Linked DNA regions of Arabidopsis thaliana. The protein of the gene in region 2 interacts with the protein of the main gene of each other region in a pairwise test. Each region holds a gene or a part of one and is shown on either strand. Other genes may lie near its edges.

What was found.
Region 1: the proteins of AT5G63930 (region 2) and AT2G43880 interact in a protein complementation assay, tested with the Arabidopsis thaliana proteins (one large-scale study listed by BioGRID).

What each region holds. Positions count from the first base shown.
Region 1 is NC_003071.7:18,169,971-18,176,092, reverse strand, and holds AT2G43880 (Pectin lyase-like superfamily protein), read right to left. Parts: upstream 3,205-6,122; 5' UTR 3,060-3,204; coding exon 2,613-3,059; intron 2,516-2,612; coding exon 2,226-2,515; intron 2,143-2,225; coding exon 1,914-2,142; coding exon of another isoform or gene 1,887-1,913; exon of another isoform or gene 1,830-1,886; coding exon 1,611-1,829; 3' UTR 1,419-1,610; downstream 1-1,418.
Region 2 is NC_003076.8:25,578,289-25,587,763, reverse strand, and holds AT5G63930 (Leucine-rich repeat protein kinase family protein), read right to left. Parts: upstream 6,069-9,475; 5' UTR 4,759-6,068; coding exon 1,827-4,758; intron 1,749-1,826; coding exon 1,372-1,748; 3' UTR 1,144-1,371; downstream 1-1,143. Other genes in the region: TOP3A (topoisomerase 3alpha), read right to left, coding at 6,534-6,795, 6,897-7,017, 7,174-7,341, 7,505-7,576, 7,720-7,791, 7,919-7,997, 8,180-8,218, 8,311-8,410 and 3 more.

The sequences.
Region 1 (6,122 bases), on a different chromosome or scaffold from region 2:
CTTAAATGATTTTCTTCTCCAACTAGCGTAATTAATAATTTTTGATTTGAATACTCAAGCATGTTGGCTTGGGACGGAAGGTATTATCAAAAGCTTTACAGGGAACTAAGAAGGCATTACAGAGCAAGTAATAATAATTTATTAGGTTAGTTGCAGAAGAACTAAGGTTTAGTATCATCAGGTTCTTGCTCATCAGAAAGAAACCGATTTAATTAGCGCATATAATGGTGAAGAACGACGACATTTCAAAGGAATGTGTTGCAGATGAATCTAATGTAGGGTGAGTGTCCAATATCGCGAGGGAACCTTTGATCAAAGGAACATTTTCCACAATGTCGCTAGTGTCATTTCATCCAAATTTAATCATCACCGAAATCCAGTCATTTCACCGTTAGAGATATCAATAGTTCGATTTGTTCTTGTATTGGCTTTTAGTTAAACTTAAACGATGCCTATAAAAAGTTATAAAGTGGAAGATTAAATATTAATATACGTCATCAATGACGGTTGGTCTCAATTCTTAATTATTAATGGTTATCTTCTGCAGCGAACCAAATCAATAAGTTTAGTTATTTTGTTGTAATTAATTTCAATATTCAAAGTTTCGAACATGTTGGCTTTAGACCGAAGGTATTTTCAAAAGATGCACAGAGAATTAAGGGGGATAACAGAGCAAGTAAGAAGGATAACTTTTGTAAGGTTATTACGTGATCTCAAACAAAAGTGATTTCATTTGTTCCATCTTGGATAATAATTTTTATAAAAAAACAAAACCAATTAAATTAGAAAAACATATATTTCATCATAATATGAGCCTTATGTTATGGTAATTGGCACGTGCCATGTGATAACGGAACGGAAGAGATCAGATCTCAGCGGTTAAATAGTAAAGAGACCCTCCGTCCTCCGAATCTTGCGGTGCTACATAGTCAACCTAAAAGCCTCAACCAATTTTATATAGACACGTCATCCAAACCATTCACACGATTGTTTTTTTGTTTTTTTTTTCCACACCATTCACACGACACGATATGAAACATACAATACTTGTATTACTCTCATTACAGGTTCACTATCAGTTTATTATTTTTTATGGTCATAGTTTATTTTTTCCCTTGTGATACAAAAATCATTGAATCGAGAGAAGTTAAGATTCAACATTGTATTTTTTTTATTTTTTTTGTGATGCCAATATATTAACCATCAAATAAAATAAAAATGAGTCAATTGGATCTGTCAGATGGAACTTTTGTTAACCCTAACCTTTTATCAAAAAAAAAGAAAAAGGATGTTACTTTTTTTGGGATCAAATTTACTATTTTATTATCCCTTGTTATTATATGACCTATTACCGTTACGAAATTGATTTTCACAAGCAAAGCAGATATGGCACAAGCACATTGATAAGCGAACAATCAAATTGATTTCTTCTCTCTTTTTCCTTTTTTTCAATTTCATTCACACCAAAGAGTTTCACCACATTCAAATTCGGATGAATCTAAGGTTATAAAAACATCAAACAAATATCACTTTAGAATATATCTACATCCAACAATTTTAGGGTTTACATGTACTATATAAACCCAAATAAATAATCATGGATCATGATTTCACATACAATTCCTTGGAACCATAACTCCAGAGGCTCGTCCATGGGCGTTCCTACAATAAGAAGCTGATGATCTTCTCATGTAAGTAAGCTTAATGTCTTGTAACCTAAGCCCTGTGCAATGATTGCTTCCACTACAATCCAACTTCATTGCTATTGGTGTTGTTGATGTCCCCTTTATGTTTGCAAAAGTCACTCCACTTATCTTCACTCCAGAGCTCTGTTTGATCAATCATAATAAGATTCCATTAAATAAAGACTAGATTTAGGATTTGAGTTAAGCTAAATTGACTAGATTATATACCTGGCGAGGACAACCTTTTCCATTAGGACAATAGTTTTGATCGATTATCACCGGATTTTCAACATTATTCATTATCAAATTTCGAAATACCACATTATTCACAAACCCTCTGCTAGGCCTAGCCCATGTCTTTATTCTTACTCCGTTCTGCGTCTTGGTGAAAACAGAGCTCGTAACGGTTACATTTTGCACACCTTCCTCATTAGCGTAATCCCCAAGACTCCCAATGCTGCATCACATTTACAAGCAAAATTGCTTTAATTGGCACTCAACCATCGCATTTAAGTTGATTATTGTTGAATTCCTAGTTACCTGATTCCATGTCCCGGTCCACAATTGACACGTTCGATCCAAATGTTCCTAGATCCTTGACTAAGTGCAATGCAGTCATCACCGGTCGCAATGGTTCCGCCACTAATGGTGACTCCAGAAGAAGACTGTACGTGGATACCATCGGTGTTAGGGCTTCCACTTGGAGCCCTAATTCTTACGTTTTCAATCCGAACATTAGAAGAATGATGAACCGTGACGTGCATATTCTGGCTATTAAACGACGATAGACCACTTAGTAGAACGTTATTGCACCAGCTGAACGATATAGACTGCAAAAGAAGCCATGTCCAATTATAATTAAATCAAATTAATATAACTAGCTAATAAATGAACAAATCAAATCCGCTAGTTTTGATGTAAACATACCCTTGCACCTTGAGGACAATGACTACCTTTCTTTCTACAAGACCAATAACCAGCTCCTCTAGCATCAATGGTGCCACCGTAAACCGAGATCCGGTTTACTTTAGCGAAAAGAATCCAATAACCGGAATTACCTATATCCCAGTAGTTCGCTGGAGCCACGAGTGTTCCATCGTTTTTGAAAGTTATAATGTTCTTGCAAGGACCCCAAAAGACTAGGTTTTTGACCAAATATGTTCCACGGGGAACGTAGACCATGGCTCGAGCCCGTGAGCCGCAGGCTAATGACCAAGCTGTCAAAAAGGACTTGGTCGCATCTGCTCTCCCATCACCTCTAGCTCCGTACCTTTGGACGTTAAACGATGGCATTGCGTGTGATGACTTGATTAAGAAGAAAATATTGATAGAGAAAAATATGATGGCGCAAGGAAAGGAGATGTTGTTGGCCATCTTAAATCTCTTCTAATTTGCGATGGCTTTGTGATGATTGTAATGATTTAAGAAGAAATAATGAGAAAGGTTATATACTGTATATATAAAATAAAAACAAATTTTATTTTAGATCGGACGATCCGTGTATTAATGACTAATCGCGTTAGATGCGGTGCATTAAAATATAAGTGACCTAAATGTTACTTGATTCCATAGTCTATGTTATTTAATGATAATGTACTTATGACTTGTGTGAGTACAACTTGTTATGTACGAATATTAGTCGATAAAGCGACGCATGCATGAATTATTGCAAAACAAAGTTGTACTCTCAGTTTCCACGTTATCTATATGCAAATGCTTATTGATCAGTTTCCTTATCAACTTAATTCACTGAATCAGAAAATATTTTTTTTGTCTCTTTACATAAACAGTTTGATATTCTTTTGAACTTAATCAATTGATTCAGATAATAATATTATTTTTTCTGTTTATGCTTTTTAAGATTTCAAGTTTAGTATGTTGGTGTCATGATTTTATTACCCATGACGATTTCACGATACTTTGTAAATTTGTAATCAAACTTCGGTAAAGAAGGTGAATCTGATGTATAATGCGGTAAATAAAACAGCAGAATATATCAATCAAGTGGAGAAGAAACTTAGAAACAAAAATTATCTATCATGCACTGTTGGAATTTACTGTAATGTCACGTGGAGAAAATTCTGCAGGATAATTGGGCGGGAATATATGCAAGGCATGGCTCCTGCAAACCTCTCTATACATTATTTTAATTTATCGTACAGTTGAAAAGAAAAGAAAAAGTTATAAGCTCTCAAATTCTCAATATAGGCCTTGGTTGAAAATCTAAAAACATTGAGCCATGCCTTAACATAATATCATATAACAAGCATAAAAAATTTAAAGTTGTAAGTTGATTAAGAATTATTTGTTCTTGCTGAAAAAAATGAAAAAAAGGAATTATATGTTCATGATTGAAGACATAACAAACGTCTGTCTCACACAAGTATGGATGTTATGGGCCCATTATTTATGAAGGACTGTATTTGTAGGTCTCGTTTACCTTTCAGAAACCCAATATGTTTCCTTCTTCTGGTTCAAAGCCCAACGTTTTCCAAGTCTAGAAACGATACATTTTTTCCATTACATACTTTGTATTACTTTTTCAAAATTCACAACTACAAGTCTACAAATATGATGTATGTTTAATTTCCCCGCGCCTTTATGTTATGTATGTAGATGGCTGGATCAATTCGATGAAAACTAATAACAATTGCCATCTGAAGACACAAAAATAGACTGTTTATTTTTTATGTTGAATAATTAAATTAGATTGGCTTCTCAATTAACAAATCGATTTGAGTTTATATCCATCATGATCACATGGCTATATCGAGTTTTAATATAGTGTGTAAATGTCAACGACTACATTAAATAAAATGGTCACTCTATCTTCTAAAATACTAAAAGCCCATAAAAATGAAAGAATTATTCACGAATTTTTTTTCTTGCTCTTATGACATGATCAAATTTTCAAATTTAGTTTAACTATAATTAGAAGATTGAAGGACCAGTGCCAGTAAATATCAGTATGTTACTGCGGTTAATGATATTTACTAATTAAGGTGTAAATTGCTTCTGAAAATCAGTCTCCAACCTCAACTAACATAATTACGTAACGAAACAACTAATATTTGGTCAGTATTTAGACAAAATACGTAACAATCAAAGAGAAACATGAACTCAACATGATGTCCTTCTACATAAATGCGGCAAAGCATATATGCATGCGTAATAAATGTGTTACGTGAATTTATACATGATATTTTTGAGATCTTGCAATGCATGTGATCAGCCATAGACAACATAATTATGAGTCTGTAAAATAAATAATATTTGAAAATCTATATATAGTTTGATGATTGGTATATGACTATATGGTCGCATACTCGAATCCTTATACTTGATCAGATATATCATACATCATTATGTACATACCTATTGGGATTTTCAGTATTTCATACGGTTTTATAGTTTTTTTCTGGTTTGGTTTTGATCAGTTTTCAAAACTAAGCCGAGAAATGAATAATCACTAGTATTATTACTATCCGAACAATTAAATAATACTCTTTTCATTGTATTTTTATCTAAACAATTAATTTAAAATAAATTCTGATTGTTTTTTGTTTCGTTTGAAGTTACATTATATTAGAAAAAAATATGTTGATTCATAAGTTGATTTGGTTTAGTTTCAATAAGCTTTACTTTACTTGGGATTGGTTGGTATACTAGATATATTATAATATACATATATTTTCTAGTTAAAGAAAGCAACGAAATGTTTTTTAAAAACATACATAACTTGGGCTAAAAGCTTATCCTATAGCACATACTCAAATTTTCATATAGCACCACTCTTCTAGGTTTAAGCAAAGGGTTGAGTCACAAATCAACTTCGATCCCTTGAACATGAATGCAATTAGTACTCATTCGGCATCATGATCCTCCAATTGACCTTGAATATTAATTAAGTAATTACCGGAAAAGTATATTCGAGTAGTTAAAAATCTTATCTTTCTTAGTCTCGCCATTAGCACGTTAATTTAAATGCATGAACTTGAAAAATGTGAGTAATCAAATGTTTGACTTAAGAAAACATTCAAGTATACGAAAGAAATTTAATTTTGGAGAAATTTAAAGAACCTTTCGGTGTGATCATTGTTCCAATTTCGATCCGTATTCTTCTCCAATTGTCACGTTCCGTAACCATGTTGCTCCAATCATCCAAATATTATTTTCCATTTATACTTGTTCCATAATCTTCTTTGTCATCTTTTGAATATTTAAATAACATACTTCAGAATGATTTGATAAAAATTCTGATTTGACAATGAAACTTTGGTCGTAAAATCTTACATATGTGGATGGCTCATCCAAACATGCATGCATGATCGTAATTTTTTTTAGGCCTGAACAAAATTGGATTAAATAATAAATATATACTACAAACTTTGAAAATACATTCAGCGTAACCTAACTAGAGTTGCATAAAACAAAAAT
Region 2 (9,475 bases):
TCTCATCTCTAACGAAAACAAATCATGCATGTTTCATTTTCAATAAAGGGTAGCCAATTCCCTCATTTTTTTTCATTTCTTTTTTCTTAAAGAATGGCTAAAAGTAGAGGACACAAATAGATCCGTCGGTGAAGAGACCTAATGTTTTAACAAAATAAAAGATGAGACCTAATGTTTCTTCTTATATTGTAGGTGGTTTTAATTTACAGTTGTTTTGATGGTTTTCCTCAATAATTTGTTACATAACTTACCAACACACTACATTCAGTAGAAATTGTGAAAAGTATATATTTGGATGTTTTTTTTGTTAAAGAAGTATTCTAAATTAGACTACTAGGAATTATCTTATGAGGTAATTAGATACCTTATTTACATTGGAATTTGGGAACGACAAAGAAAAAACAGAAACTACATTAGATGTTTCTAGCACATATTAAAGTTCATGATCGAGTTAGGAATACACATATCATCCTATCGCTAAAGATCTCATAGTGATTCGAGTATTGTTAACGAATCTCAATTCTAACCATAATGATATTGTTAATACACGCAAGATAATGTTTGGCATTATGATATTATAACTAAGATATTAATCACATTTACTTAAAGATGAACTTCTCGATTATTCATATCCTATCCTTTATTTTGAATTTTCAGTTTGAAGAAAAGGAAAAAAAGACCTTTCAAACTTTCATGGCGTACGAATAAGTCTTAGTATGACTCGAATCTTTTCGTTTGATTTAAAATCATATCCCTAGAGAAGTGAAGACTAAGAGGACTAATTATTTAACAAAATTAATATTGAGAAAAACAGATCCACATTAACTCACTACCACATAGCTAAAATTAAAAACTAGAAGAGATTAGATATATAATCTGGTGGGCACGATTCAGAATAGCACGTGAAATATTATATTTATAACAAATCCAGCTAACCGTGATCTACGCTAATTATGATTTCCAGAGCAAAAGTGACCGTATTATTATTGGTGTCTTCATTAAATTAACAATAATTTATAGACCTAATCACTATGAAAAATCAAGTTGATTATAACATGGATACTTCCATAGTATTAAATTATGATCTATTAAATGATCCAATGACCAAAAACAATATCCAATGTTAGAGAGTACTACTATTTACCTGTTCATACTAAAAAGACAACGGTAATTACCGTTTGGGTCCCATGGATAATGATTGGATTAACACTAATTAATTAAACCTAACGGTAACTTGTAGATATAGATACTGCTTATATCTTTTGATATAGCTGCGTGCGTATAGACTTTACAATAATTATTCGCCATGGTTACATAGAAGAATAATCTCGTGTGAAAAAAGAAGAAGATACAACAAGAATGTGTATTGTGTCATGGGGTAGTTGTTTGTGTCAATTCTTCTGTATCCAAATGTTCTTGTTCTCCTTCCGATCTCTCAGACTCAATAAGCATGAGAACAACTTGTCGCATCGATGGCCTCGCGACTGGAGACACACTTGTGCAAAGAAGTGCAATCTTTAACACAGTGAGCATATGAGAGACAATTCTCTCGTCTTCTAGCGTTAACCGAGCATCAAGAACTCCTGAGGACAATGCATCTCTTCTTATGTAACTCCTCACCCAATTCACCACATCTCCTCCTTGATCTATTGGCTGAACCGGGGCTTTTCCGGTTAGCAGCTCCAGTAGAACCACCCCGTAGCTATAGATGTCAGACTTCTCTGTCACTTTCATGGTGTATGCATATTCTGCAAAGTTGTTAAAACAGTTTAATTTCAGTTCCCTCATTGGATACTTAATTGCACAAACAAAAGCAAAAACTTTACCTGGGGCAATGTAGCCATAGGAGCCAGCAATAGCAGACATGGATTTAGAATGTGGCATGTCAATCACTTTTGCTAGTCCAAAATCTCCCACATGAGCTTCAAACTTGTCGTCAAGCAGTATATTGTTTGATTTTATGTCCCGGTGGAAGATTCTCGGCTTGCAATCATGGTGCAAATAGGCGAGACCCTGAGCCGCACCTAAAGCGATTTTAAATCTCTTAGACCAATCCAAGTTGCATGAAGGATCATGAAGTATTTCTCCAAGGCTTCCCTTGGGCATGTACTCATACAGAAGCAGATTTGATCCTTGGTGATTGCAGAATCCATGTAGCTTGACGATGTTACGGTGCCTGATATTCCCAAGAGTTAGAATCTCTGCTCTAAAGCTATTATCCACATTGTTGTTGTTGCCGCCTTCATGGTTTGATGCCAGCTTCTTGACAGCTAGAGTGTACCCGGCTGGAAGAACCGCTTTGTAGACGGTTCCACAAGCTCCTCTCCCAACTACAAAGCTCTCGTCGAAATTATCAGTGGCTGCAACTAAATCTTGGAACGTGAATCCTTCCTTTGGAGGGAAGTATATGTCCAAAGACATTTCCGATGGTTGGCCATCTTGAGCAGAAGAAGCGACTGTTCTCACTGGGCGTCTCATGAGGTAGACAATGAGAGCAATCAGCATGAGAGAGACCCCGCCAATCACAGCTGCAGTAATGGCTATGATTTTACTCGAACGCATTCCTCCGGGCTTCCCGGTTGACTGAGAAGGCGCGAAAGGCTGTGTTTGGATACACTGGTTGAGCGGCGGGCCGCAAAGCCCTTCATTACCGATGAAGCTAGACATGGATATGTTACGGAGAAGTGGAATAGGACCAGTTAAGCTGTTGTATGAGAAGTTGTAACCAAGCAAGCTGGAGAGATTAGCAAAAGAGCTTGGTATTTCCCCAGACAAATTGTTGTTGTTGAGGAGCAGGAACTCAAGCATAACAAGATTACTGAGCTCAGGTGGTATTTCTCCGGTAAGCTTGTTATAACTGAGGTTCAATGCTATTTGCAAACCCGTCAGACTGCCCAACTCCCGTGGAATGCTACCGTTGAACAAGTTTCCACCCATTTGTAGTTCGGTCAAGCGAGATAAGTTCCCTAGAGCCACAGGTATTGTACCCGAAAGATTATTGTTTGAGAGCTTCAGAAGCTCAAGCTGGTAGAGGGAACCTACCTCACTTGGTAAGGTTCCAGAGAAATTGTTGCAACACATGTCTAGTCGCTGAAGCATCTTGCAGTTGAAGATTTCAGAAGGGACCTCTCCAGTAAGCTTATTGGATGAGATATTCAAGGTCCCAAGCTGTGAAAGCATGCCAATCTCTCTAGGTAGCTCCCCCGTGAAGCCATTGTCTGCTAGCTGCAGCCTTTGTAGGGCACTGCAGTTCCCGACCTCCCTAGGGATGGAACCACGGAATCTGTTCTGTCCCAACTCGATGGCTGTGACATTAACCTGTTTACACAGGTTGGATGGGAACCGACCAACGAGGTTGTTTCTGGCTAGACGAAGTTGGACCAGAGTTTTGCAAGTGGTGATTCCAGTAGGAATGTTGCCAGAGAGGTTGTTTGTACCCAAGTTCAAGATGATCATATTGGAGTGAAGGCAGAGGTAGCTTGGAATTCTTCCACTGAGATGGTTATCGGACATATCAAGAACCCAGAGATCGCTATACCAGCCAAGTTTTGGAGGTATGGTCCCGCTAAGGGAGTTCTGAAACAGCTGCAGCATGAAGAGTCCTCTTAGATACTGAAATCCCAGGGGAATAGGACCCGTTAAAGCATTGATGGAGAGATCAAGCTTTGATAGATTCTTCAAAGTAGAAAGCTCCACAGGGATGGTACCTGTGAGTTGGTTCTCAAAAAGATAAAGAAGCTCAAGCCCCTCTATGTTCCCTAACTCCAAAGGTATCTCTCCGGTCAAAGCGTTTTCCGAGAAATCTATCTCAATTGCATATGAGAGATTCCCAATCTCTCTTGGAATCGTTCCATTCAACCCGTTTCTGTAAAGGTAGAGAAACTCCAGCGACTGAAGGTCCCCGAGCTCTTTCGGGATTGGCCCGACAAGCTGGTTCTTGTAGAGAGCAAGGGTTTCTAAACTTGTGCAGTTGCTAATCTCCCTGGGGATAAACCCTGAGAACTCATTTTCCCAAAGAATCACCTGTGAAAGTTTCTTGAGCATTCCAATCTCTTTTGGTAATTCACCACTCAACTGGTTCTGTGCAAGACCAAGCATGACCAAGCTCTCACATCCACCAATCTCAGAAGGCAAACTTCCAGAGATCATGTTCTGACCGGCTCGGAAGCTTGTCAGTCTCTTGAGGTTGCCGATGGAACGGGGCAATTGTCCACTGATGTTGTTACTGTAAGTCACCAGTTGAGAGAGAGACAAAAGGTTCCCAATCTCCACAGGGAGAGACCCTGAGATTCTGTTGTTGTATATGATCAGATTCTCCAAAGACACAAGCTTACCTATTTCCACAGGTATCTCACCATCAAACTGGTTATTGTTTAGTTTCAGAATCTCCAAGCTTGAACAGTTGCCAATTTCCTTAGGAATTTTCCCTGACAACCCATTATATGACAGATCCAGCTGCTTCAGATGAACCAATCCACCTATGCTTGGTGATAGCTTACCCGAGAGAACCATCGAAGACAGATTCAAGGACAAAACCTCTGGATCACTCGAATAGTTGCTGCACATCACGCCAGTCCATCCACAAGGTACAGAATCATTTGAATTCCAGTTTCTCAAATTCTGCTTAGCATCCACAAACTTGCTCTTGATTTCAAGAAGATATTGACCTTCTAAGTTCAACCCTGTTGTCTCAGAGATCAGAAGGATAAGAAGAAGAGATATGAAAAAAACAGCAAGCTTCATCATTTCCTTTACCATTCATGCATACACAGAAGCCCTTAAATCTTCATTAGAAGACATCAAACAAGATGTAATCATGTCTGCAAAAACCTCACTTTGTACATCTCTTAAAGACTACATACCATAAAACCATCCAAAAAAACTCAAATCATGTAGCATAACAAGCATATTTGAAAGAAGAATACAGGCCCTACTAAACTATGGATCTGGATCCAAGACACATAGCTATGAAAATTCTAGGCAAGAAAACAACCTTTGAAACTGGTTTCAGGAAAGGAAAAAGAGAGAATAGAAGAGGTGCAGACCTTTTTTTCTTCTTTCCAGGAAAACAATATAAAAAGGAAATGGTCAAGCTATGATTAGTTTTTTGATCATTGAAAGCTTTGAAGTTTGAAATTTGTTCATTAAAAAAGTCTTCTATTAGTACTGGCCTGTCTTTTAATATTAGTTTCAGAAGCCTATCAGCTTTGCTTTTGTTTATTTCAAGTAAAAAAGAAACTCAATATTCGTTTTGTCTTTGAAGCAACAAATAAAGTAAGCCATGAATTAGTCAAAGTGAGAACTACAAGGCTTAAAAATGATGGTCCTTTTTGTAACTTTGAAGCTATAATAGACTCTAAGTACTCAAATCAACAAGATAGAGATGGCCGACATGGCATGAGAACTTGGCTTTCCTCATTCTCTCACGACCTCAATTTCGTGCATTATTATTCTATTGTAAAGTATCAATTATACTCCAAGCAAAACAGTTGTTTTAATCTTCTATATACAGACGACAACCAAGATAACAACTGGAGAAGGGACAACAAGCTCGACTATAAGTTATAGTCCAAGGACAAATGCTTCGAGAAGCTTGTCAATTTTGAGACCAAACTTCAGTCTTGTAATGAGACTACTAAGAAGAGGCAATGATAAGTACCCACTTGATCATTCACAGCAAGATACCTAATTGACTGTTCAATATACCGAACCAAGCTATACAAATTCCAAGATTAGTATGAAAAGTACCTCAAGTGGCTACAACAACTCCTTCGATGAGGAATGTAAGAAGAAACGCGTTCTTGTTCCACAGGAGACGGCCTAATCAGTAATCACCTCTCTCTCTCTTTTTTTCCCTTTCATAGTTGCCGAAGAAAATGACCCGAATCCTACGCCGGAGAAGCTCGCCGGATCCTCTGTTATCTCAATTTCGATTTGAGAATTTTAAATCTTTTATGTTCAAAATGGACTGAAAATTGGTGTGCCGTTTTTAAACAACAAAACGGCGTTTATTCCGGTTGTTGTGTCGTTTTCTTACAGAGCAAAACGACTGTGGTTTGTGTTATTAACAGTTGTTAATATCTATTACTTGACCATCTCTAAAAACAAATTCGGAGGACTAAACTTTGTAGCTTAAGCATTTTGTTAATATCTATTACTTGACCATGTCTAGACTCAAGATCAATGGCATATACATAGTGATATAGTTGATGTATGAATTATGAATTATGAGACAATACAAAAAAAATGATGAAATATGGATCCACATTAGCTCACTAAGAACATAACTAAAAATTAAAAACGACTATTCAAGATTTATAAATAAAATAGGTGGAAACTATTCAGTGATTCAGAATAGCACGTGAAATATTATATTTAAAATATCCAGCTAACAGTGATCTACGCAAATTAGGATGAATTCCAGAGAAAAAGTGGTCATAAAATAAAATAAAATAAAATACAAAAACCCAAATTAAGTTAGTAGCACTAATTAATCATGCTACATACATAGTCAAAGTTCGTAGTAAGTAGACTTAGAAATAGTTACCGTTAGAGTTATTACGATTAGGACAAGCGTTAGCAAAATGTGAAGGATCGCCACATGAGAAGCACCTTATACCACTCACTGGCTCTCCAGTTGCAGAGACAAAGCTTGTTCCAGAGCCGCGTCGTCCTCCACTGCTTTGGCCGCCTCTACCTCCACGGCCACGACCACGGCTGCCACGTCTACCGCTCCCGCCGCTATTAGACCCTGTTGTTGCATTCCCACTACTGTTGTTTATGCTATCTTCCCATCTGTTTACAAGCAGTGCAAACAAAAAACTGATGTGTTGAGTGATGTAAAAGGAAAAAAAAATGGATTATGCGAAGAAATTGGGGTAAAACCAGACTCTTACGCAAAGAAACTGCAGCCTTGTGTTGGACATGAGAAGAATTGTCTTCCCCTGTTAGCTTCTGTGTTGGCTGTACGAAGAACACATTGTGATCCACAAGTGTTACATGATACTGTACTTTCATCTGCATTATAACCAACAATACTAGAATATAAATTACATGTCAATAAGGAAGACTTGGTCTGGACAATTTGCTTGAATTTTGACTAGTATATAGTACATACTAGCAAAAGCTAATCGATGATCTTTGTTTGCTAAACTATTATACAAGGATCAGTACCGTTTCTCGGATTTGTTGCAGTAGGACGAGAATTTCGAGATGCTGGAACCCGTGAGGGACAATTCGTGGAAGCATGTCCTCGTTGCTGACAATGTATGCAGACATTACTCTGTCTTGTGTTGCTTCCTTGGATATTGTTTGACGGTGCAGTACCTGGAGTTCTCCTTGCTGCAAGAACAAATCATTGATTCTTTTTAGCCTAAATGTTCTCTATTCGCAAGACACTATACTAAAGTTCTTGCATTCTCATTTAGGACAGAAGATGATGAAAGAAAGATTGTATGATGTCTAATACAAAGGTATATGTATTGCGTAACAACAAAGCACTAACCTTGAGAACGGGATCCAGTTCCACAGATGTCTATCAACTGTTTAAGAATGTCATCACAGCCACCCACGCAACCTGATCACAACATTACCATAGGACATATTAGAAGAAGTCACGATGAAATTGGCACGGTGGCTGTGATGACATTAAAATCAAAGCCTGGTAAAAAAATCAAAGCCTGGTAAACAAGAAAACAAATTGGCTGCAATTTTTTTTACCTAAGTGATTAACATCAAAGCCTGGTGGAATTCCAATTTGACGGAACTTGAAAAGTATCTTGTAGACCGGGCCTACAGAAAGAGAAAGGCACCATTTAATAATAAAGACAGAAAGACACATGTACACGCTGTGTCATCCAAGTGTAATTTAGTTTTTGAAATTCAATTCACTGTTATACTGGAGAATCTGTGGCTATACCTGGACCACAGGATTGACAAACATTAGTAGTGACAGATGCTTCCAATGTCGGTCCAGGAAGCCAGACTGCATTCCGACACTAGAGAAAGGAAAATGTGTGAAATTAATATAATAGATGTAAGCAAGGAAGCATAAACGAAGAAATACTGAAATGTCAAATGATTAGATCATAATCTTCAGAAATAAGGTTACAATACAGAGAGCAAAAAGTTTAAATTTCCAACAATATATATGGTATGTAAAGAGCGGTGAAATTCTGACCTGAGGATAATTCATGCACCCAACCATGAAATTGCCATCCTGCAAAGAAAGGGAATAGAACGTTTAACCTGTGGTTCCCATTAACAATAGGGAGAACAGAGAAAATTTTGTTCAGACAGAATATATGATACCCGGTTCTTCCTGAGTGCCATATCTGATTCATTGCAGAGATTGCATCGTCGGACAACTTCACCAGCTGTCTGACTTTCACTCTCATCAGTGTTATTAGATCTGCACATGCAGTATCATATTATATTACGAAGAAATAGACTTCAGCTACACAGTACTGAACAAAGTAACGAGACTACCTTTCAAAGAAAATTGTCATTGCTTCTAGGAGCTTTGATTTTTTTACTCTTGCCTGCGAGAATTAAATTTGTGAATGACAATTAGAAAAACACGGCATTCAGTTCCAGCCTACTGTGTTAGCAGCACCTTCAGCAATAACAGATTTGGCCACAGAGAGAAGACAAAAAGTCTAATAAAAAACAGCTGACTCACATCTAAGAAACAAGCTTTCATTTGCTGCAAACATGTTTCAAGAACTTCAGCTTTGGTCTTCCTGCCAACGCTAACTTCATTCATATCATGTTCCATAAGGGCTCTGAGATTTGGTTTCCAAAGTTCATACCTGAGAGAAAAACGTCAAAAGATTGGCAACAAGAAGACTGACAGACATCAAAGTCTTAGAGGGCTCTTCAAAAGGGGCTTGATACAAATGAGGTCTCTCCAAATAGATAGGCTCTTAACATAAAAATATAAATTCTTTAATCAGTTTACTCTGATTAGAAGGGAAATATGATTGAAAGCCACAAATATATAATGATATATGAAGGAGGCTCTAAGTTTTTTGAAACGTAAGGAAAATTTGTAGTACATCACATGCAGTCTTATACATACCCCATGTCATCATATCCCATCACAAGCGCCTCACCCTGAAATGAAATCAGTACAGTAAGCTAACTTCAGAAACGCTGAACAGACATATAAGGGCTAAGAACATATATATCAAATTATCCCAGGGAGAGTAGTCTTGCTATAACTCCAGTTAATAAAGTTAATTTAGATGTTTTATACACTTAAGAGTTCAGACAATACTACCACTATATATAGATACACAGTTTTGCTATAACCAGATAAAGTTCATAAAGATGTTTTTATAGTCTAGAGACCAGAAAACGTAACCAATATATGTCTAGGCTGAAGTTTGAGATAAAAGTATATTTTCCAAGGATAATCATTATGTTATGTTATGCAACCTTATAGCTAATGAAAGATCCTGGGAAGCTACAGGTA